Linked DNA regions of Drosophila melanogaster. The protein of the gene in region 3 interacts with the protein of the main gene of each other region in a pairwise test. Each region holds a gene or a part of one and is shown on either strand. Other genes may lie near its edges.

Region 1 (11,711 bases), on a different chromosome or scaffold from region 3:
TAGTAGTAGTGGTAAGAAAAGGGAGCATTGATAGTAATTGCGAGCAGCATGCACAATTGCAGCTCCTCGCTGGCAGCTTACGAGAAACGAGACGCGTAATAAATCCATAATCCGAGGCGACAATTTGAATCATTGCGCTGTAAATGCGTTGCGCTTTCCGTGGGTGGTGGTGTTCCAGGCGGCTCGGTGGGGGATGCTCAGGGTGAAGCCACGGGTTCAGGGGTCACAGCTGCAGGCATTCGAGCAGCAAAGACAAGACAAGACAGTCGCAGGGCTCCCACTCCACTCCACTCCACTCCACTCCTTCCATCCTTCCCTTGCTGGCCTTTGTTTTATTGCATTTCACTTTGTCTGGCTTTGGCTCGAAAGCTCGACGCCAAACCCATTTTCGTCCTCTGCCCCCCTTTGCCTCTTGGAAAATTGCATTTTATGCTCCTTCGCCGTCGCGCCACCTCCCACCCCCCATGCCCCCATGCGCCCATGCTCCTCAGTGTGTTTGTCTTTGCCTTAGCAGTTAAAATAATCATAATAAAAACAAAATCCAAGCGCACAAGCGAGCTGAAATCCCCAAGAAGAAATGTCAACATTTGCCAGCCAAGTGCACTTGCTCCAGCTCCAGCTTCAGATTCAGATTCCGCCTGAGCTGGAGCTCCAAGAAGCAGTGGCGAAGAGGCGAAGAGGGGAAGACTGAAGACTGTCTCCCGGGACTCGTCTGTCGGCTTAGTTGCCAGTTATCTTGATCACAGCTAAACAATCGATTCAATTTGAACTTAATGGAGTCCTGGCCGAAAAGTGGGAGCCAAAGGTCAGTCGGTAGGGAGATGTGTGTGTGTGTGTGTGTGTGTGCTGCAGAGGAGCAGAGACCTGGTATTTACTGACATGCATCCAATATTTGCATTTCGGAAGTCTGTGACTATTTTCATATGCGAGTAGCCAATGAACAAATACAGCTATTATATACTTCTGTTTCCAACGATCTATTGCACACTTTCAATGCGGCTTAATTACTACTGAGATTAAAACCCTAAACAAGTCACTTTTTAATGGAACGCGGGGTGATTCTCACTGATCCAGTGCAGTGCGTGCTGGTCCGTGAAAGACGCGTTTGCTGGATTCCGGCCTGCGGAGATTGACGCGACAACACTAATGATGTGCCTTGAGCCCAGTGCAATATGAACTGGATTATTGGAAGCCACATTTACATATGGAATGGCACCCTACGCCTCGTGCGTGGACGCATTTAATGAATGCTGCTACAAATGGTTGCAACAATTCGGGAATCACATGTCCTCCCACCTCTTGTTGTTTGCCCAGTATATGTCATGCCCATATAAGCGGGGCCAATGGCTGATTGACATATCGTGCAAATGGACATTGAACCCCCCGACTGGCCGACCGACCGACCGACCAAAGGTAATCACACCGGCCACATGACTTATTCAGAACTGGCCCAACTGGCCGGTGCCCAGTAACCAAGACCCCAAGACCCCGCACTACGGCCCTGAATTAGCTATGGCCGTATAATTAGCACAATTTCGGGCGGCCATGTGACCCCACTACACTAATACACTGACAAGAGAGTGTGAGGCCACATTTTTGGTGGGCTCTCATTGAACTTTGAACTACATATGTGTAGTCATTAAAATGTTGACATTAAATATTGTATCTATAGAATCGTCATTGATGGATTAATATGCATTATTCATACACCTAGCTAAAGTCAAGTTGCTTTTCTTTCTGTGTACTTGTCCTGGGGCCTCGTTCGAGTATTTCCATATGACATGTTCGTCTCTCGTCCGGATCCGGAACATAAATGTTCTGTCCTGTCTTGGGTAGGGGGCAGGGTGGAAAGGGGGGACGTGGGCGGAGTGCCTTTATAGATTATGGATTGTTTATTGGGCCAAGTGTCAGAATTGAGGCACCCATTTGTCCATAGCTGATGTGAGTCCTTGCCACAATGAGTGGTTTTCTTTTTTTTGCTATATCTCTGTGCTTAGGATACGGGCTCTTTAAGCTGAGTGATTAGTTCAGCTGGCAAAATCGATTGGGCTATTTCAATGGTTTCGCTTGGGAAATCAGTTATAAGTTATTTAATAACTTAACTACGCCCCATTTGTTTTTGCAAAAAAAAGAAACCGATTTGCTTTAACAGCTTAACCTAAAGAGCGTTAGTTTAAGCGCTGGAAACAAAAAAACCTCTTAGCAATCCCCCTTTGTATCTCCTAAATTCCCCTTCGCCAATGCGTGTGATAACCAAAATCAAGCCGCAGCCGACTATTTTGCATACGCAAATAAAAGTAAATAAATTGAAATTCGCCAGTGCCTTGGTGTGCCTCTTCTTCCACTTCCACTTACCTGTGTGTACATGTGCGTATATGCATATATGTATGTACATATTTTCCCCTGTGCATACAGCACACGCATGTAAATCGACGTTTTACAACACAAATGCCACCTGTGGGGCGGCCTTTTTTGAGCCCCATAGTTTGGGGTAGTTGGCAGCCTAAAGGAACATTTTCGTTTCTATCTTATTTTTGGGGCCGATTGGAGGAGGAACTCGTCCGCTGCACATAGGTGAGCGCAACGTTCGAAATTCAACTAGTATAGGCAAAGCTCTCATTTGACTACTGATATTTGAGATACATGCTACCAGTGAAGCCGATTTTGGTTCTAGTTTTGCGCGAGAATACATAGAATACTTAAATTTTAGAGCAATCCCAAGTCGGTGTGCGAGTGCCAGACACTTCAAATTTTTTTATTTATAGGACAGAAGAGAAAGGACTTTTTGGCAATTGTTCTGGGTGAAGTGGGCGGCTTGGTTTCGGCTCCTGTTCAGCATACATATATGTTACAGATTTTCCGTTTCGGTTTATTGCCAATACCATTGTTAAACATCGGACTAGTCCGTAAGCCCCCTTACCCACCATCCCCCACCGTTTGGGATCGCAAACCAAATCGATACAATGGCTTCTCGCTTTCGCTTTCCTCGGTTTTCCATCTCTAATAAGTGGGTGCCCAACTACAACGGTTGGTGGCCATAGAAAATCGTTAAGGTGTTTAATCAATGGCTCTGGCTCGTTGGCACAATGGAATGAAATTAAGTGCCATAAATCAATGGCGAAATATAGGTGAGCTCGCTTTTATGGTGCGCACTTGGGCCAAATCACCTGGGCCTTGACCTTTTTCGTGGAGTCACCAGAATATTTGGTAAATAGTAAATCCTCGCAAGAGTGGCTAAAAAAAGCTCAGGAAGAAATTAGAAGGTAGGAAAATGGTCACAGCAAGGCACAGAAAATACATTAAGCACATTAAAGCCCGTCAAATGGAAAAGTGGCCAAGAACAGCAACAAAAGGAATTCAGTGCCAGGAGAACGCACCTGCCTCCACTCCAACATCATTGGCTCCCCTTACGTGGTCACCCAAAGCAGTCACAATAAAATGCCAACTGCCAATAAATGCCAATAAATCAAACAATTGAGCACGGCCAAGTTGTGTGACGCCGTGCGCCAAATAAGTCCAACGGCCAATGTCCAATGTCCAAATGTCCCATGTCCGCTGACCGATGTGAAAGCGAACAAAAAGCTAGCAACCAACTTCTGAATGCCCGCCCCAATGGTTAGCAGTGGAGCAGACAAAGAACATCCAATACACCGATTGGAACTCAGGAATCGAGACAAACCATGTTGCATGTTCTTGGAATCGGGTTAAATTAGTAAAGAAGGTGCATAGTTAGAAACATTTCGCAGTCTCTCTCCAACACTCTCCAATTTCACACTTTAAAACAAACAACTTCTTGACCAAATAGTTATGTATTTATTTCGTCGCTCTATAGGAGCAACATTCAAATTTTTATGTACAACGTGTACGTGTACGGATGGTTTGACTAGAGATTTGGAACCCAACTAACTATCGATCGATGGCTGATCACACCTGCTTGACATTTCAAGTTCTTGTGAAAAAATACCGAAAATACTGAAAATGTTTCGATTCGCAATTGTCTGATGAGAACCTATACAGTGTATATTCTCTTCACAGTTGATCCCAGTTTATCCTTGGAGTCCTTGTGCAACTGATACTCCAGCACGTATATGTTGTCCATGCGTAGAACCTTGCGTAAAATGCGTCCAATTTCAAGGACTGTAGTCTGATTTCCCCCGTCAGCGTTCCAAATAGAGATCTTGTTCGACTTTCCGCGAATATTGACCACAACGCCACAAAGATCGTCCGAGTGCTTACAGGCCTCTCCAATCAGACAGAGCATGGCGTCCATCCAGAAACTGTCCAGAGCCATCTTGGCGCTCTTGGTCAAGTTGATGACCCAGCGTCCTCCATTGACATTGGCCTCATCCTCCCACATGGGTCGAATGCCCTTCTTGAACAGGGAGTAGTCACTGCCCAGCATAAGCTCGGATGGGGGCTTGATGTGAGTGATCAGGCTCCAAAACTTCTCCACGGTATCGAAGCTTGTAACCTTGTGCAGCATTTCTTCCCAACTTTTATTTCGATCGTTCTCTAGATACCACAGAGTCCAGCAGTTGTTGAGTGGATGTTGAGGATCCTCGACCTCCAAAAGTTCGGCGTTCTCCGCCGCGATGGTCAGATCATCATCACATTTATTGTTCAGTGACAGAAATTCTAGTGAATTGTCAAAAGCGACCACCGCATCTTCTTTTTTGGCCGGTGGACATGTGTTCTGTTTAATCCTGGGCTCGAGCCTCAAGCTCAAAAGCTTCTGCTCGGATAACCGCATTAGGACCTTCTGCCCTAAAAGATTTTCTTGTGTGATTATCTTTCCCTGCATATTCTTTTCGATTAGCTTCTTGTCCTGCAGATCCTTGTCGAGCACATTCTTCCTATATTGTGCACTAGTCGACTGCTCCTGTTCAGGGCTATTTTCTTTCTGCTGGACCATCTGTTTTCCTTGGCCTTTACCCTTCTCATTGTCATCATTTCCCGTCGACTTTCCATCTTTGCCCGGATTGTTGCTTCGACTGCTCTTGCTCGTCTGACTGGGAGTGCGTGGCGCATTCTTTTGATTCTTCTTGCCCTTCCGGTTCCCCTTGCCACGTTTTTGGGGCTCTGATGGCGACGTTTTGTTTGGATCATTCATCGGTTCTTGGGTCTTTTCTGGTTGAGTATCTTCAGTGGATTGAGGAGCTGCAGCAGGCTGGGTAACATCAGTTGGTGACTCCACTTTTTGGGGACCTTGTGTGGGATATTCATTGTTGTTCGCACAGCTTTTAAACATTGTTCTCGGATTGGCAAAGTCCCTCATCCTGTAAAAGCTGTTGGGAAGCATGGCGGCTTTGTTCGAGGTCAGCAACGGCTGTAGAGTTATACGGAAATGGCGAGGTTAGCGCTATGTTTAAACAAACAAATCTAACAAAAAAAAGGGTTAATATAATGGCGATTTTTGGGATCTTTCATTTTCGTAGCTTCCTATACAATTATATATATGATGAATCCACAAAGCCAAGCCAAACGCTCTTTCTGAACTTCCGACTAATGAGGCAAACAAGCCAACATGCCCCTTTTCTCTAAGACGTGAGCTGGAAATTTCTTCTTTGGAAGCACGAAAGGAAAAACTGACCAAGACCAAGGGACGTGTGCAGAAGTTGGCAACTTTAGCAACAAATATTTACACACCCCCCGAACTGAATGATTTGAGTGGGTGCAAAACCCCAAACACACGGGTGTAAGGTAACACAGCACGCATTTCTTATTAGCTGGGTCAAGTTGTGCTTGCCCCTTGGAAATAACCGAGTAAAAGCGTTTTTCACACGCCAAAATCTCCGATAGAAAAGATTACGATGCCTTGGTATTTACGCATCTTTTAAAATCATTAAAAATTCTCTACATTTACGATATGCAGCGGACGAAGGAATCTTTATGTAATGGCATCACAAAAGTAAACCACCAGGAGAACAAACTTTGATTTGACTCTGGCTGCCATAAGTTAAAATGGGGTCAAAAGGACTCGAATTTATGAGTGAGAAAAAATCAATCAGAAATTGGAATCAGAAACAGAATCCAAGGCGTGGCAAATGTTTGAGCGGACTTGGACTTTGAGCGAGTGTTGTGCTTTCACGCTTTTGGCAAGCAGTTTATGGCCATTTTATTTGACCCGATTTTGTTTTAATGGAATATCTGTGCCTTAACCATGGACTTCATATGTACATTTGTATCACTTGGCATGGGCTAAGAACTGTACAGATATGGGAATCTCCTTTCACTTCTGCCATACAAATTAGGGAAACAACAAAGGCAACACATTGCAGGAGGTTTTCCTTCTTAAAAGCCGTTTAGGGATCTCATACCCGACATTTCCAAATGTTCCTCTTTTAACTTAAATGACATCAAAATGAAAAGCAGGGCCAAAACAGAAACAGAAACTACAAGACGTGCGGGTGCACTTAGCGAAAGTATTACAGAGATCAACTAAATTTTATCGCGACAGTAGTTTAGATTATAGCATGTAATGAACTGCTTTTGAATCTTTATGTCACTGTACTTTGGCGATCTAGATTCATTTCAATGAATAATTTACTTATGGGAGTAGTCGAAAGCCACAATAGAAGGCACCTTGGATTTCTCTCAGTTCCCGCAAAGCAGTTTCGCCCTTCTCAGTTCCTATCGATGCAATTTTTTATTTGGCCCGATGCGATGTAAATATTGCATTAGACGGGGCCAAAGTGTTGGGCAAATTTATTGGCAGCACATAAATCGAGGACTCGCCCTCAACGGGTCGGTTGTCGTCTGTTGAAAAAGTAAATGTTCTAAAGGTAAATATGCACACAGCGAGGAAGTGGCACTCATTCAGTTGAACGTTGGAAGTGGGAAGGAAGTTGAAGGAAGGTGGACTACTCTACATTGGCATCTGTGCTCGCCTTCTGTGACCTATGACCTGTGAGCCATCGTCGCTGGCTGAAATGCCGAAATGTTGAAATGTTCAAATGCCGGCTGCTGACTGCTAGCTGCCTCGAAAAACTGATGAAAATGCAAAAATGTTGTTCCCAGTCCTTGCCTTTCCCCTCGGCTGCTATGCCAATTTTAATTAACAAAAAACATGAGCAGCTCCCTGTTGCGTTGTGTGTGTTTTGTTTAGCTCTGTTTTGTTTTGTTTTGTTTAGTTTAGTTCAGCTCTGTTCTGTTTTGTTTTGTTTGGCTAGTTTGAACTTTGTTCCTCGTATTCTTGTATGCCGGTTGCACTAGACGGGTGATGGGGTTAAGCAGGGGTAGCTCCATCCCCACTACCGTCAATCCGCTCAATTGCTCTAGCCCAACTTTTTGCATACTTTCGGGGATTCCCAGTAATCGGCGGCAGCCAATGAAATCTAAGCTGACCGACAGACAAGACATACTACATACGACAAGGAACACACTACCTTATTTGTAAACGAAGATGACGAAGGAGGAGAAACCCAACGAACAGTTCTAATGCCATAATTAATCACTACGAATTGGGTCTACACAACTTACCTAACGCACTGCGAATATCCGAATACCGCTTAGGTCAATCAAAATATATCAACAAATAAATCGCAATGGTTTTGTAAATAAAATTTGACTAAAACCCGGTTGTTCTCACAACGAAGTGTCGTCCAAAACTGATTTATATTTCTAGACTTACTTTGCTCTGAAAAATGACTTTTGGTAACAAAAGTCCGGTCCCACTTCGGTACTATTCTGCATTTTTTCCCATCACTGGGATCGGATTCGCGAGTATATGGCCTAATCCGAACTCCACTAAGCGCTCCTGGATTACAGCTAAAGCATTTAATTAAAAAATTGCATTGCTTTTGTTTTTGCGCGCTGCCATAATTTGCATGCCAACAACACTATGGCCTGCCTGTTTGCTCATATCATTAATTCGCAATTTGGCCAAATAATAATGAATATTTTCATCTTGTGTCGCTTTTTGCCCTGTTCAGTTCAGTTCAGTTAGCTCTGAGCGTGTTTTTGTTCACATTTGTATATTTGTTCATGTCCGTTCAGACATTCGCATTCAAATGTTTTGCGTTTTGTGTTCTTGTGCAATGCAATTAATTAGAAGTGGATAAATGGTGCATGAGTGTGCGCAAATTAAATTAAATTCTATGTGCATTTTTGCATTTTGCCAGCGAATGAATCGCTCTGAAAAAGTCATTTGGAGTTGAAATGCAAACACGGCATTCTGAAATCATCAAGCATTATGAGAATGCATAAACTGAAATTGAACCATAAACGCATGCCCCCCGCAAGCGGATTGCGGGTATTATCATTATGAAATGCTAAATCGTGTAAAATATTTAAAGAGTCGTTAGCAGTTGCATTACGCAAAAAAGCAACACATCAAATACAAACATCCCAATGCATCAAAAAGGCAATCAGAGGGCGGTTGTGGCGTCGGTGAGTCCACCTCCAACCCGACCAACAGTTCGTGGCCGACTGAAGCAAACGACAAGGATTTCCCAGGACCTGCTCGATCGAGCAACAGAGGGACAGGCAACTTAACAGACAACCGTGGAAACTTAACAGCTGTTGTAGGCAACTCATAGACGGAATCATGAAGAATATTGTGCCAAAATACAGCATTTTCTTTTATTGCTTGCCCAAATAATCACATGATAAACCCACAAAGAAGCCAGATATCAGTAATTTAAATAACTTTGGCACAGCTTAAAAGCCATAAATACATGCATACAGCGTTACACGCACTTGCACTTGCGGTGCATATAATAAGCCTCAGTTTTTGGAAAATCCCTCGCCTTCACACATACCACGAACTTGGGATCTGTGGATGGGACTATTGCCATCAATAGCCTGGCAGAGGGCTATCAATGAAAATCAATGTTCATCATATCGGGGCCGCACTTCACTGAAGGCAATCGTCTGTTTTTTCTGGCCAGGAGCTCTTTCAGCGGAAACGAATGCATTTCCTCGCGGATCCATTCCAATCGCTGCTCCCAAGAAGGCACTAAAATGGTAGGTGGGCTCCTTAAATGTACATTCTGATATTGACACACTTTTAATACACTCTGACCCCAGCGAAAGCTTTTCCTAATTGGAAGTTTTTCTTACTTTGCCTCCGATCTACGAGTAGTTCATCAAATATATCCACATTCGACCGCCTCTGAAGCCGGGCAGCACCATCGTAGCTGTCCAAAAGGAGTCCCAAAAGGAGGAGTAACTTGATGAAAATTATCACGAACAAAACGCGGAACAGGCGTGTGTAGCTAGCCGACATATCGAATTTTGAATGATTCGGAACATACCGTCAAAAGCCAGAGTCACCGCGGCCTCGACATCTGTTCAAAACTGGTGGCGAAATGTTTTCTTTATCCGTCGACTTGGAGCTGTGACCTTATCGATGGAAACTTGTAAAGTCGTACTGGAAAAACACTAAAGCCCCAAACTGTGTTCTGTGTTCAGATAAACAAAAACACTAAAGAAGTTTGCTAATTATTGAGCTAAGGGACACATTCAACCTAAGCTGAAAAAATTACAAGTAGAAATTCACTATTTCTACGTATACCCAAGTTTAATAGGTAGAGCAACACATCGACCAGGAAATGCGTCCAAAAACAGGCGACAGGACCGGAAACCAAAAACGAAATGCAGACAGCAACTAAAACTCAAGCAGACACCAAAACCAGCCAAGCGGAATCAGGCGCAAGTTTTAAGAATAACAAACAAGAATAGGGCGACTCACGTGTGGCTTCGTTGCAAGGATCCGCAGAAAGTTGGCACAAGGTGTGCAATAGACACCGGGAACCCCAGCCCAGTCCCATGCCAAAACCCAAATACGAGTACAAGTAAGCGGCAAAATACTGAGTGCACACGAAAACGCACCTGGGCGCAAATGAATGATGATGATGTTGCCACAACAGCCGCAGGCAGAAGCAGCAGTAGCAGTTTCTTTCACAAGGTTCTCAACAGTGTCAAAAGATGCCATCGCCGTGGATTAATATTGTGTGGATCAACTGTTTTACTTGGTTTAAGTCATTTTTGTTCGAAGTAAGCCCAGTGAACTGAACTTAAATGTTAAAATTGAAGCTATTTACTTTAATGCGCCGTTCTCTGCGCTTCTCAAAAATCCAACTGTATGCACATCGCAACGCTTTAAAAATTTGCTTACCTCTAAGCGCCGTTCTCGCGTGCCTCATATACAAGCATTGCACCGCATCAGTAATTTAATGACTTTTAAGCGCCGTTCTCTGCGCTTCTCAAAAATCCAAGTGTATGCACATTGTAACTCTTTAAAGATTTAATTACTTTTAAGCGCCATTCACTGGGCTTCTCAAAGTCCAAGCATTGGACCACATTAATAGTTGAATTACCTTTAAGCGCCGTTCTCTGCGCTTCTCAAAAATCCAACTGTATGCACATCGCAACGCTTTAAAAATTTAGTTACCTTTAAGCGCCATTCACTGCGCTTCTCAAAGTCCAAGCATTGGACCACATTAGAAGTTGAATTACCTTTAAGCGCCGTTCTCTGCGCTTCTCAAAAATCCAAGTGTATGCACATTGTAACTCTTTAAAGATTTAATTACTTTTAAGCGCCATTCACTGTGCTTCTCAAAGTCCAAGCATTGGACCACATTAGAAGTTGAATTACCTTTAAGCGCCGTTCTCTGCGCTTCTCAAAAATCCAAGTGTATGCACATTGTAACTCTTTAAAGATTTAATTACTTTTAAGCGCCATTCACTGCGCTTCTCAAAGTCCAAGCATTGGACCACATTAGAAGTTGAATTACCTCTAAGCGCCGTTCTCTGCGCTTCTCAAAAATCCAACTGTATGCACATCGCAACGCTTTAAAAATTTAGTTACTTTTAAGCGCCATTCACTGCGCTTCTCAAAGTCCAAGCATTGGACCACATTAGAAGTTGAATTACCTTTAAGCGCCGTTCTCTGCGCTTCTCAAAAATCCAAGTGTATGCACATTGTAACTCTTTAAAGATTTAATTACTTTTAAGCGCCATTCACTGCGCTTCTCAAAGTCCAAGCATTAGACCACATTAGAAGTTGAATTACCTTTAAGCGCCGTTCTCTGCGCTTCTCAAAAATCCAACTGTATGCTCATCGCAACGCTTTAAAGATTTAGTTACCTCTAAGCGTCATTCACTGCGCTTCTCAAAGTTAAAGCATTGGACCACATTAGAAGTTGAATTACCTTTAAGCGCCGTTCTCTGCGCTTCTCAAAAGGCCAAGTGTATTTATTTATTTAATTTCTATTGAAAATCAAACCTATTTTGATTCCAGTATTAAGCAGAATACGACCCACTGTCGGCGCTAGAAGGTGTGTTCCTTAGCTCAAATGTAGCAACTTTTTGCTCAAGCAAATTGCCAGCCTGAGCAGGGCACGCCCCCACTTTGCCCCCAGCATGCCCAGACCTCTAAAAGCACCTTCTTTTGTCTACAGCTGGCGGGCAGTGAAAGTCGACTGCAACAACTCCACGCTCGTGTCTCCGCCCTGTTGCATTTCACTTAGAATGCTTTTAACCAAAACATTAAGCAGCTGGTGTCACATTATATCAGCGAGGCGGAGGCGAGGCTTAGTTAGCCTGGGAGCAGCAGCCGCAGCAACATGCAACCAGCTACCAACAAACAGCAACCAGCAACAGCAGCAAATTTATGGCCCGAATTAGCCCCGCCCGAACTGGAATCCCACCCCCAGCATCTGAAATGCTGTGGCTGACTAAAAACAAGGCACTCAGAAGAGCGAAGTCGG
Region 2 (9,151 bases), on a different chromosome or scaffold from region 3:
ATCATCGTCATCTCCCATACTATCGACTTCGATCGCTGTACATAGCTCGGTGCAAGTAATTAAGTCTCCCGAAGAGTCGACAACGAGGCGTAACAGCCCCGCGCCCATAGAAGAGCCCATGGCAATGGTACTTTTAAAATTCAAAAGTGTTTTCTTCGAATGATCTATTCAAATTAAAGGACACGCTTTGGAACGGCAAAATATTTAAAGTGGGAGAAAATTATAAAAAGCGAGAGGTTTCCTTATACAATCAAACATTAAACATTTATAAACAAACATTTTATATACATTTTTTTTTAGCTTTTGTGTAATGATTTTCATCTGCGATATATTTCATCTTTTACGATATTCTCAAATACCAATTGTATGATTGTGTGATGTATTTTAAACATCTGATCCACTATCTTCCATTTTTCTATTGTGTTGAATTAAATATGTTCGAGCATTTTTAACATTTTTTCAGTTGCTGTGCGAAGCGATTTCCCTCAATCCTCCCGCCATCCATTATCCAGCCTCCTTCCATCCCAAATGTTTTGTTAATTGTTATTTAATGGTTATGCCGTAGCTTAAGTCACAACTCATATAACATCTAATTTGGTGCGGTGTCTGGAATTTCTTCTGTAAATAACTTTGGTTTCCTATGGTCTACTCAAATTTTTTTTTCTGGCCAGCGCACAAAATACAAAGAATTAAAAACACAACCAAACAAAGCAGCACAATAAGTATTTGAATAACATTTATTTGCCACACACAAAACACACACAATCCCCCACACACACACACACTCTGGTTATAGACTTTCGTTCAGCTTGAATAAATGTTAAAAATGCCAACTAGAAAAAACAGCGTAGATAAACAAATTGAAACAATAAATGGAGAGGAGAATAATATCGAGCAAACCTTTAACTGTCTAGCACGAGCGATTTCTTCGCATTTGGGTGAATTATTATTATTTTCTTGATGGACTAACAAATATTTACACAAATGTTACTCGTTCTCGGGGCAAAGCAATTTGCATTAATGTTCCGTAGCTACACACTTTTGCCTCGTTTCGTTCGCCAAGATCTTTGCCGTTTCAAAGTGCTGCCAAAAATGTGCACTAAAAATGTTTTGTTTGGCCTTTTTGCATTTGATGAATGTGTTCAAAATTTATTGTGCTTGCTGCTGCTGTGCCGAGCTATATCTATATCTATATACCATCTATATAGACGCTTGATTGACTCCGTTTCGTATAATCTAAATTAGCCAGCAAACAAAACATTTTTTGCGATCTAGCACATTCCGCATCTCTTTTATACACACATTAAACGATGGATCACCGATATTAATTTGTCATGTTCTCTTCCGTTCAGGTGGTTGACGAGCACACGACTTTGACGAAGCCGGAGCCGAAGAATAATCACACTCATATCCTGAAATCAGACTGGTTCTGGTATACCATACAGAATGGCTATGCCAATGAGATGGACTATCTGTTTGGCGACGTAAGTAGATCACTATTAAATTGTTTACCAGCTGAAACTAACATTGAATTACTTTTGATCTTACTTTAGTATTTGGATAGCATCACGAATACACCGAACACAGATCGTCGGGATTCATTGCCCATTAGCTTTAACAAAAGGAAACGCAAGCGTTTTTCGCAACGCATCCAGCTGGAGGGTACTCCGTTGGGTTCTGGTAAACGACGCTCCTCCGTTTCGGATGCCGGTCTATTGTCTGTCTCAAATAGTTTATTCGATTGTACCACCAGTCCGGATAAACTGGAGTCGGACAAGCTGTTGCATGCCGAGCCGGAGGCGAGCGATGCCACTCCAGCCAAGAAATCGATGCGCTTTAATCACTTTATGGACTTTTATACCACAGAGTCCAACTACGTGGGCATATTGGACACCATACTGAATGTAGGTTGAATATTTTCTTAATGATGTTTTTATTTTCATTTATTTTTTACTACTCGTCTACAGCTTTTTAAAAACAAGTTGGAAGAGTTGGCTGAAACCAATGATCCGCTGCTTAATAAGTCGGAGATCAAGACGATCTTTGGCAACTTCCTGCCTATCCACGAGGTACACCAAAGCATGCTGGAGCATCTGCGGAAATTGCATGCTAACTGGCGGGAGGATTGTCTTATTGGAGACATTATCATTCAACATCGCGACGAGCTGATAAAGGCGTATCCACCATACGTCAACTTCTTCGAGCAGATGAAGGAGCAACTGCAGTACTGCGATCGGGAATATCCGCGTTTCCACGCCTTTCTGAAGATTAATCAAACGAAACCGGAGTGCGGACGCCAAGGTCTACAAGATCTGATGATCCGTCCAGTTCAGCGATTGCCCAGTATCAGTCTGCTGCTAAATGATATATTGAAACATACGACAAGTGGCAATGCGGACCACGGACGTTTGGAGGAGGCTCTGAAGGCCATCAAGCAGGTGACACTGCACATCAACGAGGATAAAAGGCGGACCGAATCGCGCATGGCCATCTTCGATATATTCAACGATATCGAAGGATGTCCGGCGCATTTAGTGAGTTCCAACCGCAGCTTTATTTTGAAGTGTGAGGTGAACGAGCTCTCCGATTCGCTGAGCGGTCGTGGTGATAGCCTGGTCCTGTACCTGTTCTCCGATTCCATTGAGCTATGCAAGCGGCGTTCTAAAGGATTCAACACTGCAAAATCGCCAAGCACGGCCAAGACGCATAAGCATCTCAAGCTGATATCTTTGAATACGATCCGGTTAGTGATTGACATCTCGGATAGTCCAAGAGCTTTTGGTTTGCTCTTGCGGGGCGATAAGGAGAAGCTCTATACGTTTACGATCAGTGATGAGGAGACAGATAAGTCGGTCTACGTAAAGAAATTGTGCAACCAGATTGCAGCCCACACCTGCCGTACTGATGCGGTAAGTGGTAGCATACATAGATAGTTTTATGTTCTGAAATTCATGTTCTTATTCTTGTTTTGCAGGACAAACTTTTGATTTGTCGCACCTCCCAGGAACTGGAGGTGGACATAAGTGATGTGAATGTCAGCACGCTCAGCAAAGCCTTTAAACTGGCGGCCAAAACGCGACTCAAGGTGGGTCCTCAAAACTTTTTCAGCTTAAAACTTTTCTAATACTAATTTTCGTTCTTTTAGGTGGGTCGTGCTTTCTCCTTTAACAAAACGCCCAACAAACTGAAACGGGCCGTATCCACGATGATGACTTCGCCGTTTGGCAGCACCAACTCTCTAACACCTGCCTCTCAATTGGCCCAGATGCGTTTGGCCAGCTGCACGAATATAAATGTGTGTACAACTACAGCATCGATGTGAACAAAAACTGATGTATAATTATATTTTTATAGGAGGTTGATGATGAGGACTGTGCAAGCATGCGAAGCAGTTCGCCGTCAACACAATCCGAGATGCTAGTGGTACCGCCACTTTCGGTGCAACCCACGCGGAAAAACAAGGCCGTTGTGGGCCGCATTTAGAGCTGATGATGATGATGACTCCACAGTCAAATTGTGTATTCCATTTTGGAAGTCTCTTTTTGGAGAGACTCGCTTGCAGTGCTATTCCTTGAGCATTGGTCGCCCATGTCCGAGTGCATATACAAGCTTCGAATTCGTAATCTCACAACACAACCAGAAACAAATTATCGAGCGTCCAATATTGTTTAGATTGTAAAATGTATTGTTAAGTTGCACCTGTCGATAGGAAGGCTCGCAAATGTTGAAGCGTTTGCCCGAGCTGTCGATTGATCATGATTAACTTGTAAATAGTTCTCCATATGTGTACTCCCGTGCCCGTATAATTGTGTCGCGTCGCTAAATGTAATCAACTACTCATTGCAGTGACTAGGGATCGAATTCACGCACGCACCGAACGATCGATTCGGATGGTTTTCGGTCGGATGATCGCCACACCGCAACAAGCTGTGAATGTTTACTGAGTAAATTTTTTAAAAACCCTATCTTACCATATTGATTATAACTCAACGATTTTGCTTGAGTAGGCAATTACGACCCTAAGTCGTAAGGCGTTCAAAGCATGAAGATGTTTAAGTTAATATATGAACAATGATTAAAGGAAAACATTTTTAAATCAAAGCATTTTTTATTCTTAGCTTTGAAGCTGCAAAGTAGGCAACGAATTACACAAACTTCGACAGTTACCACAATCTCACCCGAAAAGATGCAATTGTTGCGCATAGAAAATTAGGTTTTTAATTTAGTCTATAGAACAATTTTGTAGGGGCAATTCCAAGTAAATATTCATATACACCAAGCCAATCATATCTTCCACACTTACGAATCTGGTGTACAAAAATAAAAATATACTAACGTAGAGGACCTAAACAATCGCTTTCAGAGTGTATAAACCGATTTGACGCCCGAATTGAATTTGGACATTGCATCGGAATGAAGTTGATACTGCAAACTATGCGATTGCAAATGAAGGAGTATCTTCAGCTTCTGGCCGATCTCCAGAATGGCCATTTCGTTACTCCCGTTGGCAGTCCAAACCGCTGTAATAGATACAGTTTTTTATCAATGTGCAGAACACATTTGATAAACTTACAGATTTTGTTGCTCTTGTTACGTATATTGATGACAGCTCCGCAGATCTCGTCGGAGTATTCAAAATTTTGGCCCACCATCAGCAGTAGAATGTCCAGCCAAATTTGATCCAATTCCGCTTTGGCACTCTTACTCACGGTGACCAGCCAGCGACCACCCTTGATGTTGGCTTCATCCTCCCACATGGGTCTTTGGGAGTAGAGGATTTAAGTTAGCATCTCTCAATGAACAATGATTTATTCGTACTTTATGCCCTTCTTGAACACGGAGTAATCGCATCCAATCTTCAGCTCCGCTGGGGTCTTGATGGTATGGTACAAGCTCCAGAAGGTCTCCACACTGTCAATCTCGGTAATCTCGTTTAGCATGTCCTTCCAGTGCTTGGTGCGATCGTTTTCCAAATACCACAAAGTCCACACATGCTCCAAAGGATGCTTGTACTCGACTTGGTATATCTCTTCATCGATAGGTTCTGGGCTATTGCTCTCCAGTGGAACACCTTCGTGGTGATGATGATGCTTATGGATACTATTCAGCTGATGTTGCTGATCCTGCTGCTTCATAATATCAAAACTTTGCACTTGTGCACTGGCCATGTTGTTGGTTGACTTGTTTTTTTTTTTTCGATACGAACAGGTAACCTTAATTTATTTGCTGACGGCTGTGTTCTCAACGAATTTTGTCGCGATTCGAGTGGGAATTGCTTACTAATAACCAAAAATACTTTAGCACATTTTTCTAGACCTAAACGAAACCTGTCGAAAAGAAGGAAATGAAATGACAATGACACCTGGGTGTAAGCATACTATGCTGGTTTTTTCTTTTAATATAAATTATTTTTATTCATTTATAAATACTGCAAAACTTAAGACAAATCAATTTACATATTGTTAACATAGAAATGCGCGCTTGGTCCTTAAAAAAAAAAATAATAACATACAAAATGAAAATGTATGCACTCTATTCCAATGGTCAATTAAACACTAAGCGGAGGCACTAGAGAAAACAAATCGAAACAGCTACGGGGTGTTCAAAATAAAAAAAAACACGGTTTTCGTAACCATATTTGAAAAGATTCTCAATTCTTTTAGAAATACGTTAATAAATTATCTCAAGGCTGGTTTTGAATCATCCACCCGTCTAGACCCATAAAACAGCGGCTGCATCCTCGTTGGACAAAGTGGAGAAGCGCTGGTAGCGATTCGCATTGCGATAGGTTTTCGAGGGCGATGGAGCGGTTGATATCTGAGCTTGAACCTGTACTTGAACTTGAGTCTGATTTTGCATGGGCAGCCCCACCATATTTAATCCGGACTTTAGTGTGGAGTTCCTGCTGTCCGAGGACATGGACAGGCGTCGCTGGTTTCCATTCATCAAGGTGGAACTCAGGGGCAAGCCGACATCGTGAAAGGAGCTAATCGAACTGAAGCCACTCTCATCCTCGGTACTGGAACCGCTCTGCTTATTGCTGGTGGTTTTGTTATTGCTATTGCTGATGGCTGTGTTGCTGGCGGTGGTCTGTGTCTGCGTCTCCTCATCCGTTTCCACTTTCGAGGAGGAGGATGCCGTCGACGAGATGGTGGAATGCACGGAACTGTCGGTGGAGCTGCGCAACGATAGCCTCGAGTCGCGCATGTTGTTGGCCCGCAGAAAGATGAGTTCCGCATTTGATTTCCCGCCCGGTGATGGAGTCTCCAGTGTGGCACTCATGATACTGGTGGAATTGTGCAATGGTGGCGTCAGTAGTGTCATCACCGAACTGGTTTTCCCCTTGCATAGGCGGTGATTTCCCGAGGGCAGCGATGAAATGGAAGCGAGCGAGTGGCGCGGCTGCGTGAGATCTGGTTGCTGTTCCGAGGTGTGCAAAAGATTCCTTATGGTTCTGGCCAAACGAAAGGCCTCCTGATTCAGCTTTTCCTCGGCTGCCTCAGGAGCCGATAGACGTGACTTGCAACCGCCACTGCCTCCAGACTTCTTCGGGGATCGACGCCTTTGGCAGAGAGAAGACATTTCGTTATTAATTGTTTGAAAATTATTAGCACTGCTATTGATCTCCCCTTACCATGTAAAATCCTTGAAGGCATTATAGCTTCCAGCTGGTGCAATCGTCTCGTAATTGTGCTCCTCGTCCATGGCATGCATTGATTTATTCAACATCAAATTGGTGCTGCTCCGGGCGCGTAGATATGAAGCTGATCCGCCGCTGGAGGCGTCATCATCCCGAGCATCGCTCTGCAGGGAGGTGTTGCCCACTCCGTGGACATGATGCAGACTCTTGGAGCGGGCAATCTGCTCTCCATTGCGTTGGGTCTGCTGGAGTTGTTGCTGCAACTGGTAGCGCTCAAAGAAGCGGGCCACCTCCTCCATCACCGCTCGGTACATCTCGCAATTGGTTTCGGTCTGAAATTTAGGATTATAAAGTGATTTAGAATACTTAGGGATTGATAAGTGGTAGTTTTTACGCATAATGAAGATAGATTAGATAGATATTGTATCTTTCTTTGGGAATGTAACTTTAGAAACGTGTGGCCCATATTTTAGGTGAGCTTTCAGCTCTTCATGTAAATCTCATTCAATCGACCTTTCTCCGGCTAACTCAGCTTGTATTTCCCCTCCAAAACTTACAGCTTTGCTCCAATGTGCCAGGTCATTGCTTTGACACATTGATAATGCATTTGAACCGATGACTTTAATTTATTATTTATGTTAATTGTAAATGATTTTGCTTGGCAGCAAACATTTGTAGAGCAGCAGCATCGGCATCAGCATCATCATCAGCCTATAAAAACTTTCACTTGATTTTTTATCGCGCCCCTTTACTCTGCGCGCATTTCTCTACTTCATTGTGCTGTGGGTCTTTGGGCCATATCAGCATCATTGGCCAAGTTGATTGGGGGGGAATGTCGCTTTTGGTTAACTTCTGTGGGCCAAATTGTCTAATTATCAAATGCCATTCGAGTCTATGGCGCTTGCCAAATTGGCAGAGACCTCAAAAAGGCGTTAAGATTGCCGATTGCCATCACCTGGCAGGCAGGCACACGCCCACCTCCCGGGCCATTTGAAATTTGGCCAAAACGGGTGGGCATGCAGTTTATATGTACATATATATGTGTGTATATCTGCTGGTTTTTTGGGGAGGCTTCACACGATGCCAAAATAGTTGGTGTCTGGCTGATTATGTAAGTTGGCGATGCAGTCGTTGCTATTGCTATTGCAACGCTTGGAAATTGTTGCTAATTTTTCATTGGACGTTTTTCCGTTTTCGGAGGTTTTCCTACTGCGTGTTCGCCAGAGGTTTTCATTCGAATTACGAATTGTTTTCGTGTGTCTGAGATTTATTTGAAAATGATGTGGAAATTGTTGCCGGCGCGCACTGCTGCTGCTGCTGCTGCTGTATTTGATTTCGATTTTGTTATGCTTTGTTTAATTTCATTAATGCCCAAAGTGTTTTTAGCCATCGTCGAGCAATTGGAGCTGAGAGGATTCGGGTACGAATTTTTCCGATTCCGATTCGGACTCGCTTGGCCTGCCAGCAGCTTCCCATTGAACGCATTTCCTGGCTACACCGGTCGGTTTAGTCTGGGATCTTACCGGTGCATAAATTAAATGCGGTTCCCTCCCATCGACTGCATCGTCTACTCAATCAATCAATCAATCAATCTCGCCAGGGTTCCACCCACGCCTGCATGGTTTTTCTTTTCATTTATAATGGCCAAAATGTTTTTCCATCGCGGTTTTCCTGCCTTCTAACCCAGTTTTCCGTTCGCCAAACAAGAAACGGACCAAGCTACAGAAAATATTTATCTTTTCTTATTATTTTCATGTTTTTTTTTTCTGGTCACTGCTTTGTTTTCTTTTTTGCAATTTTCCAAGGCGAAGACCGCCGGCTTTCCAAGTCAACTTCATTGGGGCTCATTTAAAAGCGCATTAAATCGAAATGAAAGCGTAAATATTTTCGCTCTTTCAGCGGCATCCGTTGGGTGATTATGCGTTGCATAGAATAGCCTCGAATTGAAAGTGTTCGAAAGGGGAGAAACTGATCAGGTTGGACTCCAGATCTCAGCGTATCCAATGTGAACGTTGAAGGTCATTTCGTCGATTTCGAGTTCAAAGTTTGTTTCGGTCAATTGGGAGCAAAGCCGGCTTAGTGCACTGGTCTAGTTTTCGATTGGGAAAAATCTCAGATAGTTGGGAAAAACTAGTCATGGTGTTGTATGTATCTCAGATGTATTTGTAATGTTAGATTTATGTTTTATATTCTGTCATAAGTAAGATAGATCGAAACATTTTAGTCAAATTCATTTACTGTGAGATTCCCACGAATTCTTCTACCTTTTTGCACTTCTTGTTACCCAAGCTTAAAAACATGTCTATAATTTGTAAATTCTTTACCGCTGATTTAATCAATTAATTGTGTGTGAGTACCCCTAGGATTCCTGTTTAAGAATTTTCAGAATGCCCAAGTCACTTCATTGATGGCCAACATATTATTACACACCATATAGATACCAATCAGAATTGTTAGACTCAATCTGGCGCTTCTCACTTTAACAGTAAGGTTTTCAAAAGGCAGAAACCC
Region 3 (9,985 bases):
CGAAAACCTCATCTGGTGTTTGTTTGTTTGTTTGGCTTCGCCTGTTTACGTGCAGTCATGCGAAGCTCCGGCCCAAACCTCGACTTTTCAGCTGATGCTGGAATCTGCTTCAATTGTTGTCTGTCGCCAAAGGATTCCCCTCATCCCTGCCCTCCTCGGCAGCCCAACAACCCGCTATGCTCCATCTCATCAAAATCCATTTTAAGATTTTTGATTTAATTCCGCCTTTGTTTGGCAAGTTGGTTACTGCTCATGCCCTCTGTGTATCTAGAGTTTAGATTTGCCTGGGCAAATTTGTTTATGCCCGTCAAAAGGCTGACTCTGCCGGAGACATATGAACATGTGAAGGACCCTCTTGGACTGTCTAGCAGTTCGTTGTATCCCAATTGAAGTGGAGCAGCCAGTGGAACCAGGAACCCTTTTCAATAGCAAGTTGAAAATGAAACAAACTATTGAAATAACACAATCATAGGCTCTTTAGGTTTACTTGAAATCAGTTTAATGGGTATCAGCATTTGAAAAAATTCGGTACAAGTGAAAAATTAATTAATTGAATTCAAACAATTACAAGTATTATGCTGCGTTACGATGAAATAATTGCAATATAAAAAAATTAGGCAATGAAAACACTAGTAGTAGATTTCAGATTTATAGCAAGTGTATAATGGTAGAAGGAGCAGTAGATTTATATGCAAGATGTTTCGAGTCGCAGCTATTAACATATATTGAAAACAGCAGCTAATCAATGTCAATCGAACTGCAGGCTAAACTGAAATTTTCCAAATCAAATTACGCACGCTGCATTGGGCAGCACGAAAGTATCCGCAAATGTGCAGCAGTTTGTGGCCGGAAAAGAGCCCGAAGAGCAAGTGGCAAACAATAGCTGTAGCAACCCAAATCAAATCATGGCAAATTAGTTGTAATTCAATTGCCGACAGTCGCCGTCTGGATCGTGGCCCCCACCTCCACCACCAGTCCCACCTCAGCACCAGCCCCTACATATGTTTGGGTCCTAATCCCCTTAGGCGAACTTGGCGAAAACTTGTTGATACTGTGTTTCAGCCCTCGACCTCCACAATTCATAACACCACAAACGTATATATAAACCTATAGAAATATATATATATATATATGTGTGGATAAATGTTGCACGGACAACCTCCAGGCGTATCCATGCGATGGGTGACAAATATTTGACGTTTTAGTCTAATTAAATTAGCCACATCGCCGCTCGGCCCTCGGGAAAGGTATAAATTTCTGCGCGTTAGTAGCAGCGTGTAAATTTCGCAGGTGGCACACGTTCGGGCTGCGTCGCGGGTTGTCTCTCGGCGGGTTTTCGCCTTCAAAAGAGCTGAAATTCAGATATACATAAACTACAACACACATTGTACGGGAATTCGGGAGTTCGGTGGCCAAACGTATTGTTATAAAGTATATGCCAGCATACAATTCATAGTCGCAGTCCTCTCACCTAAGCCGGTCACATGAAATTCCAACGTCCATTGTGCCAGCGAGTCGAACAATTGCACACGTTTTTATGTGCCGGAATGCAAGAAGTACGTATCCGTACGCTTGGTTATAAGTGGCTTAAGTGCAGTCCGTGAGCCAACTGAATTACGTGGCTATATCCTTCATTCATTGTGCTCCTGGTTGCTCCTGACTGCTCCTGGTTGCTCCTGGCAGCTGCAGGTTGCTCCTACCTCTTCCGTTGATTGTCAAGTTGGGGCTGTGTGTGCGGAGCTTGTGGTCTGTGACTGCTGGAGTTTCGATTCAACTGGCTGCCATCGCGATAAGCCCTTCGTTTTTATGAACTCTGTAAAATACTCAAAATTTGTTCTAGTTTTAATGAACTCCAGTGCGCTTGCGACAAAATTATGATACTTCGATCGGTGCCAGGCAGAATTAACACATCTCGGCTGCAGAGGGAGAAATTAGAGTGAAATATCATATGCATTTTACATCGTATGTTAACCGAATAGTTTATACTTGTTATAATATATACAGGTGCAGATATAATCCCATTTCGATGGGCAGTCGCAGTATGCACCTGCTGTGCAGGTGAACAGCTATAAATCCATTTATAAACGCTTCCCATGAAGTGGCGGATAAAACCGAATTTATTGCGACATTTTTATGTCCGTCCGCATTTTCGCCCGTCCTCCGCACTTATATTTCTATTAAGTTAATTAAACAATGCACCATCGGGGCTCCTGGGGTAGTCAGAACCACCTTTTGTTGGTACCGGAAGTGTTTTTTATGGAACAACCGCCATGATGATGGTTCCGAGTTTTTGCCTGCCGCGCATACAAAGCACTTGCATTTTTTATGACCAGCCCAAACACTTTTAAATGCATCTGCAGCATCCGCATCCATATCCGCATGCAGATCCGCATCCGCAGGAGCATAAAGCCAGTTTAAAGCAAAAGCATGTAGACGGAATGCATTTTTTCTTTGCGGATTATCGAAAAAAGCTCCTTAAATATTCATTTTGGCATTGTGTTCACACATGCGGAGGAAGGCAGCGGAAAATAAAAATATTTTCATCGGGTGTGGGAAAATATTGGGAAACAAAGAAATTAATTCTAATGGGAGAAACGATTGGCGATGATGTGAACAATCCAATGAGAGCAGCAACAACTAATACAAACTGCAGTTCGTTGCTAATGAGATGAGTGCAATAAAAATGTAAATCAAAACAGAAAGCCGATTGAACAATTGGTCATAAGTGGTGCAATAAGTGCTCGCGAATTTGGTGTTCAGTGTGGCCTTTGGAATTGACCAGTAACAGTCGGGAAACAGTGAAACTGCACAGTGTCTAATCAACTCACTAAATTGGCAAAACTTAAATCTTGCCCATGCAGATGGCACTTAAAAAGGGTTTAGCCAGCTCGGTCAGTGGCGGAAATAAAAAGAAAAACATTATAAACAGCTTAAATAGAAACTTTTTGCACGCCGGAAACCAGAAACCATAAACCAAGTCAAAAACCACCAGACACACACACACACACACCAACACACACAAGCACACCCAGTTGGACATATAACTATGGACTATACAACTATGAGTACAAAAGCAAAATCAACTTGAAAGTTGCATGTGGCCCGGCTTAGTATTGGACTTTTTTGGCTTTGCCATTGTGTATATAAATATATATGCCATATATGTAAATATCGTTCACTTTTCACTGCAAGTGTGCAAAGCCCTGCGACATGAAGTCGGATTTTGAACTCTGAACCCTGGACTTGGTACATGGAATACTAGTTACGAACTGCTGGCGTTCGGTTAAGTGAAGTGCACTAACTCTAGAATGGGTCGCAAAAAGAAGCTGCCGACGGGCGTAAGTAGAAACCCATCCAGGATCCCGATCCAGATCCGTATCCAGCAAGTAGCATGTCTTAAAGCCGCCAGTATTAGCTAAACGCCGCTTACCTTAAACGCCTCCAATGCCATTTAGATGGAAGCCAGACAATCAGCCCAGCATCCTCCACTTTGCACTTAATTTTCTTGTATGTTTATTTTTTATTTATTTGCAATTCCGCATACACGATTTCCCCCTCGCCACATCGGCATGTACGTATGTGGCTCCTGCTCACCTGTCTCTTTAAATTATGCCAGGTATCGTCTGGCGTCAGCCACGCCTCCTCCGCCCCCAAATCGGTGGGCGGGTGCTGTGTGCCGCTGGGATTACCACAGCCTCTGCTGCTCGAGGAGAAGAAGTTCCTGCTGGCTGTCGAGCGCGGCGATATGCCGAATGTGCGCAGGTGAGTAGCGCTTTTCACGCCTCCGATGCCCAGCAGGGAGGGGGGGGGGGTGGGTGGTGTTTCTGTATGGCATCTTGGGCGGGAGGGATACACTGCAAGAAACTCTTACCACAATCAGGTGTTGGATGAGCATTAGTATTCAAAGTTAATGTACAAGCTTAGCTAATGAATGTATCAATCGAGTAGAACCTAATGTATATTGATATATTTAGCCTTCAATTTAAAAGAAATAGTTAAACACACTACCACATTTATCCGAGTGTAGGGTGTTCGAATAAAAACCCTGACATTTTTAGAGGGGTATCACGAGCTCCAATGGTGGCTTCGCCCAGGGTAACACAGGTGTTGACTGGGCTGGGTCGCACAGGTACCATAAATCCCATCGGGAGCCTCCTTGGGTTCTTTGGATGCGGTGCTGGTGGTGGGTTCAATTATTTGCACACTCGTCTGCCGCGGGCCTCAAAATGGTTACCTAACTGGCATCCCGGCAGCCACTTAATAAGCAATATGAGGCCTTCGACCCGGATACTTTACGCTCGTTTACGGCTTTGCTTTAACAAATGTACGATTAATTCCGTTTGCTGGCAATGAATAAGAGATAAGCCAAATTATCCAAATACTTTTCGGTTGCCACTTAAAGCTGTTAACATGCACAATCAATTCGAGAAACGAATCTTATTGAAAAGCAACTTTTCGGATAACTTAAGTTCCCTTACCTGAAAGCACAACTAAACCTTACTTTTTGTTGACATCCCAGGATGTCATTTATGAACAATTCTTTATTGTTTTCATCGGGCGAGTGATACGGTAACAACAAGCAAATGAGCCGTGTCCGGGGTTCCTGTTTCATTTGTGATTCCCAATACGCTTTGGAGGCATGCACGATGTCCATATAATCTTGCATCTAATGTGAAATTGTGGAAGTAGTGGCGAAGTTAGTGCTAGTCTTGGATCTTGAGTCTACATGGAAATACGGCAACAACAAGCAAATGGGCAGTGTCCTGGGTTCCTGTTCTTCGTGTGATGCTCCTTGCGATTTTTAGGCATGCAAGATAAACCTATAAGCTGACATCTTATGTGGGTAGGGTGGCGAAGCTAGACCTAGTTATGGATCTTAAATCAACTTGAATATTGAGGTGCTGACGGTGCGATGTGGGTAAAAGTGAAAGTGTGACGGCTATGACGTCTATGACGGCTATTTGGGACGTTTTGGGAACATTTAAAAGTTGATAAAACGGTATGGGTTGAAGCTTTTCATCTCGTCCAGGGTGTAGCGGTAGCGGATGCCCTTCGAAGGCTCCTCCTCGGAGCCGTTCGAGTCGTCCTCCTCCTCGCGGATCTCAGAGACCCGCTCCACCCGGATGCCCTTCATCTGGCAGGCGCGGCGGTACAGCTGCTCCTCCCGGTCCATGTAAAACTGGCACGATACGCTGTGATTCGGAACGGGCGGCGGTGGGATCATGGGACTAGCCCCAAATGGAATCCCTGCTGGCCCATACGTAGCCGGGGCAAACCAGTTGTTGACCAGACCGCCTCCGGGCACCAGCTTCACAGTCTGGGTCTCTACAAGATTTAACGAACATACTTTTCCTACACGAATCTTCCGAGAACACACTTGGCTATTGGCTCACCCTTGTTCTTTTGCGCCATTTTGATCACCAAGCTTTGACCCTCGGCGGCATCCATTGGGTATTGAGTTTTTTAATCGTTGGAGCGTACAAATAATTTAATCGCCTAATATTGGGTGTAGTGTGCAATCACTGTAATCGCGTCTTGGAAGCGGATTTAGTTTCTTTGAATTTAGTACAACAATTTATGTTGACGAACGTTCGTAAAATCAAAGATTTTTGGCCTTAAACACTGGCAGGTGAAAACTAGTTTTGACACATCAACGCCAGGATAACTAGATTTCGATTAATTGCCAGGCAATGTACACTGCAGTGTTGGAAAATTTGATATATTTCGTGGAGCTCCTCCAAGTCCAAAATTTTTAACAGCAATCACTTCTCGATTGAAGTTATTATTAATAAGATAAATACAAATTTCACAACATAAAAAAAAAAATCTTCTGCCTTTGAAAGTGTACATTTTTCAAGCTTAGACTCCATTAAACAATCATTGGACTACATAACCGGTGCAAACACAATTAAAATCGCAGGACCAAACAAATACGAACCAAAAAAGTGATGGTGCTCAGAAGAAGAAAAATTACTCCGACTTCGAAACGCAGCGAGGCAGAAATTTGATTGTACCAAAAGGTATGAAGATGCACGTAAGACCTTAGCAGCTGAAAAGACTCTTCAAAATTTCATAAGAAACAAAAAAATATCAATTTTCCAGACCTTTGTAGAAGAAATTTCCAAAAGCCTTTAAATCTAAGACAGCATCAAAAATTAAAAAAAAAAAATACAAACAGATTAAACGAACTTGCAACGCATGGGCTCCAGAAGAAGATGAATTCCTAAAAATGTTGAAAAACACTCAATCCACTAAAGCAATATCACCCGACCCAATAACTGTATTGTTTCTACATACTCGAAATCCATTTGAATGAATGGACTTTCTAATCTATCTAGCAAACAGAAAGCCAGACTCGCGCAATGACAATATAAAACAATATAAAAGCGGATCTATTTAATCTGCTTAACAGAATATGGTTATCAGCTCAAACCAGAGATCAAAGCTGTCCCGATACCCAAAAAAAGCATACCCTTCAGTGGTTTCAAGCTTTTTACCTATGTATATGTCTCATAAGCGTTCTGTTTAAGATAACAGAAAGGCTAATAAAAATTGGATTGGACCACCACATTTCATGTAATCTCGTGGACCTGGCCGCTAAAAATGCATCGACCAAAGGAATTTTCACCGTAGTAAGTTGAAGCATTAAAGATGCCACGACTGAAATTCACTTAAAAAGACAGGGAAAAGAAATAAACAGAATTTTCTGCAAACAAACAGCGGCGATACTGCACACTTTTCTCAGGCACATTAAAAAAACTATGGTTTAAAAATCCCAAATGTCTAATGTCAATAAGTCTACAGAAATCAAAATAATTACAAGACTTCTTAGCAAAAACGCATTTGACAATTATACTTTAAATAAAATGACCAACTTAACGTTGATAACGTATCCCACATCTTATTCAGCTGTTTCAAATACAACAATTTCAGCCCTGGAAAAACCAAAAATATAAACGCTTACTAAGACATCAAATTAAAATAAACCTATAAATCTTTACAATCTTAAGTCCTTGGCAATTTCCACGTACACGAGGGTGGCCAAATAATTTCACGACATTTAAGAATGACGCGGTAACGTAAAACACAAAAAAAAAAAAATAAATAAATAAAAATTTGATATTAGTCCCTTTTTCGGCGCCCAATTGATTGGGAAAGTTTGTTTGAAGGCTGCGGCCGCGATGTAATTAGAAACTTGGACTCCAACTTTTGACTTGACATCGGGAATTCTTGGGGCATCGGAAATCTGTGCACAGGAGAAGAAAAGAAAAGTTATTGTGGACCCTTCGGTGGGCGCCTAGCCCCAATTAGCAGCAATGCCACCCTCTTTATTAAGTAAATTCAAATAATTGCAGGATCCTGCAGAAGGCGCTGCGCCATCAGCACATCAACATCAACTGCATGGACCCATTGGGCCGTCGGGCCCTCACCCTAGCGATAGACAACGAGAACCTGGAGATGGTAGAGCTGCTCGTCGTCATGGGGGTGGAGACCAAGGACGCCCTACTGCACGCCATCAATGCGGAGTTTGTCGAGGCTGTGGAGCTCCTGCTCGAGCACGAGGAGCTTATCTACAAGGAGGGCGAGCCCTACGTAAGTCATTACACAGACACCTGGAGAAATCGAATGCTACTATACCATTTAATTAAAGCAGTACAAAAGAACAAAGAACGAAGCAAGAGTTTTAGTAGCTAAAGATACTTTTATTAAGATCATTCTACAATAATTTGGCAGTGGTGTTATTTGTTTATAGCCGTTGCTGTTTTTTCTTCAAACAAATATTTTATTTTGAGCAACAGTTCAGATATAGGGTAAAAATTAGATAACAGTTTACCATTTACTTAAAGATATTATATTTATAATTTGATAGTTTTAATTCACTGAGATACACATTATTCACAATGGGGGTTTAGGTCCTTTATCTACGTTTGGAACTTTTTTTCGCAGTGTATCCTTTGTTTTGTCTGCTGTGCTCAGCTAATTTGTAGCCCACATTATCGTCCGTAGGCGTTGAGGCCCTGTAAGTTGAAGCTAACACGATTTTAATCAGTTTCCGTGCGAGGAGCGTGGGGCGTTTGGATGGATGGTATGCTTGGAGTGGCCGGAGTGGCCCACCCATCGGGATCATCTTCGCCATTGGGCACGTACTCGCAGGATCTCGACTCTCGAGTGATTGGGAGTGTGCGATAAGCGGCCAACGACCAAGAACCCCCACATCCAACCACATCCATCCACATTCGCCCACATTCGCCCACATCCGTCCACATCCCCTCAAAATCCAGTACATTGAGGACCTCTCCGGCATACGGAGAACAGAGGACAGGATACGGTTTACGCTTATTGCAAATAAAGTCGTCTGGGCTCCGTCGGCCTCATATTTATGCACACAGGCACGCTTCATTAGGCAGCCATTGGGCGCTGTTGGAGCGTGAAAATTACTATTGTATCGCATATGCAATAAAACGTTTAACAGGCTTAATAACATCCACAAAACGATGAAGACGGCCCTCTTCGAGTGGGCCATTGAGCAGTTCCTGGAATAAGTTTAGGATATTTTGGAGGAACAGCCACCGAGATTGACAAAATGTAGTTCAGTCATGTGAGGCAGTAGACAAGTGTATTAAGTGGAATTCCGATTTCTACAATAACTTTATGTGCTTTACAATAAATGTAAATTTTTTTTTTAAAAATGTAACGTGTAGAAAGGTCTAAAATCGATTTTCGTGCTGATTAAAGTAATTCCCGATTATTTCACTAATTGTATGCTTACTTATTAATTAAATGTTACGTGTAACGAACAAGTAATATCAAGTTGCTTACTGAATAAAATCTTTCATGATTATTTGACTTCATTGAAAGTAATATTTTTTATAAAATGTTGCGTGCAACGCACATCTGATATCAAGTTGCTTACTGGATATTGTAGGCAATACTTTTTTAGCATTGAATTATTATATATATTGAAGTGAATATATTTTTTCTTTCCACAGAGTTGGCAAAAAGTAGACATAAACACGGCTATGTTTGCGCCGGATATCACGCCTCTGATGCTGGCCGCCCACAAGAACAACTTTGAGATACTTCGCATTCTGTTGGATCGCGGAGCAGCGGTGCCAGTGCCACATGATATACGGTGAGCTGGTACATCTAACATGGGTCCCATATCCCATTATTAATCACATTATTAAATATAGTTGCGGTTGTGAGGAGTGCGTCCGCCTGACCGCGGAGGACTCTCTGAGGCACTCCCTCTCCCGGGTGAACATCTACCGGGCTCTGTGCAGTCCATCGCTGATCTGCCTAACCTCCAACGACCCCATCATCACGGCCTTCCAGTTGTCCTGGGAACTGAGGAACCTGGCCCTCACCGAGCAGGAGTGCAAGTCAGAGTACATGGACCTGCGAAGGCAGTGCCAGAAGTTCGCCGTGGATCTGCTGGATCAGACGCGCACCTCCAACGAGCTGGCCATCATCCTGAACTACGATCCGCAGATGTCGAGCTATGAGCCCGGCGACCGGATGAGCCTGACCCGCCTGGTGCAGGCAATTTCCTACAAGCAAAAAAAGGTATGTTTCTCCGACGTGGTTCTGCTGCTAAAATTCTCCATTTCCTGCGATAGTTCGTTGCGCACTCGAATATTCAGCAATTACTGTCCTCGATTTGGTATGACGGCCTCCCCGGATTCCGGCGCAAGAGCATTGTGGACAAAGTCATCTGCATCGCCCAGGTGGCCGTGCTCTTCCCGCTCTACTGCCTCATCTACATGTGCGCCCCGAATTGCCGGACGGGCCAGTTGATGCGCAAGCCCTTTATGAAATTCCTGATCCATGCCTCCTCCTATTTGTTCTTCCTGTGTGAGTATGTCGAGTGCGGTCGGTGCACAAAGCAAACATGAGCATGAGCTCCATTGGAGGAGAAGCCCACAATGGACAGGTACCCTCAGTGGGATTGAAGCATTCAGTATCAAACTTTTTCTATTTTAAT

The links.
Region 1: the proteins of CG1690 (region 3) and eIF4E7 interact in a two-hybrid assay, tested with the Drosophila melanogaster proteins (one large-scale study listed by BioGRID).
Region 2: the proteins of CG1690 (region 3) and eIF4E5 interact in a two-hybrid assay, tested with the Drosophila melanogaster proteins (one large-scale study listed by BioGRID).

What each region holds. Positions count from the first base shown.
Region 1 is NC_004354.4:1,154,807-1,166,517, forward strand, and holds eIF4E7 (eukaryotic translation initiation factor 4E7), read right to left. Parts: upstream 7,584-11,711; 5' UTR 7,480-7,583; intron 5,327-7,479; 5' UTR 5,300-5,326; coding exon 4,010-5,299; 3' UTR 3,793-4,009; downstream 1-3,792.
Region 2 is NT_037436.4:7,891,056-7,900,206, reverse strand, and holds eIF4E5 (eukaryotic translation initiation factor 4E5), read right to left. Parts: upstream 5,328-9,151; 5' UTR 5,169-5,327; coding exon 4,819-5,168; intron 4,762-4,818; coding exon 4,574-4,761; intron 4,521-4,573; coding exon 4,360-4,520; 3' UTR 4,198-4,359; downstream 1-4,197. Other genes in the region: pbl (pebble), read left to right, coding at 1-127, 1,353-1,484, 1,554-1,904, 1,968-2,909, 2,975-3,085, 3,146-3,295, 3,355-3,483; CG32365 (uncharacterized protein), read right to left, coding at 5,713-6,562, 6,635-6,972.
Region 3 is NT_033778.4:9,752,422-9,762,406, forward strand, and holds CG1690 (uncharacterized protein), read right to left. Parts: upstream 5,648-9,985; 5' UTR 5,449-5,647; coding exon 5,394-5,448; intron 5,326-5,393; coding exon 4,982-5,325; 3' UTR 3,872-4,981; downstream 1-3,871. Other genes in the region: trpl (transient receptor potential-like), read left to right, coding at 3,309-3,338, 3,617-3,762, 7,356-7,593, 8,991-9,133, 9,195-9,567, 9,621-9,855.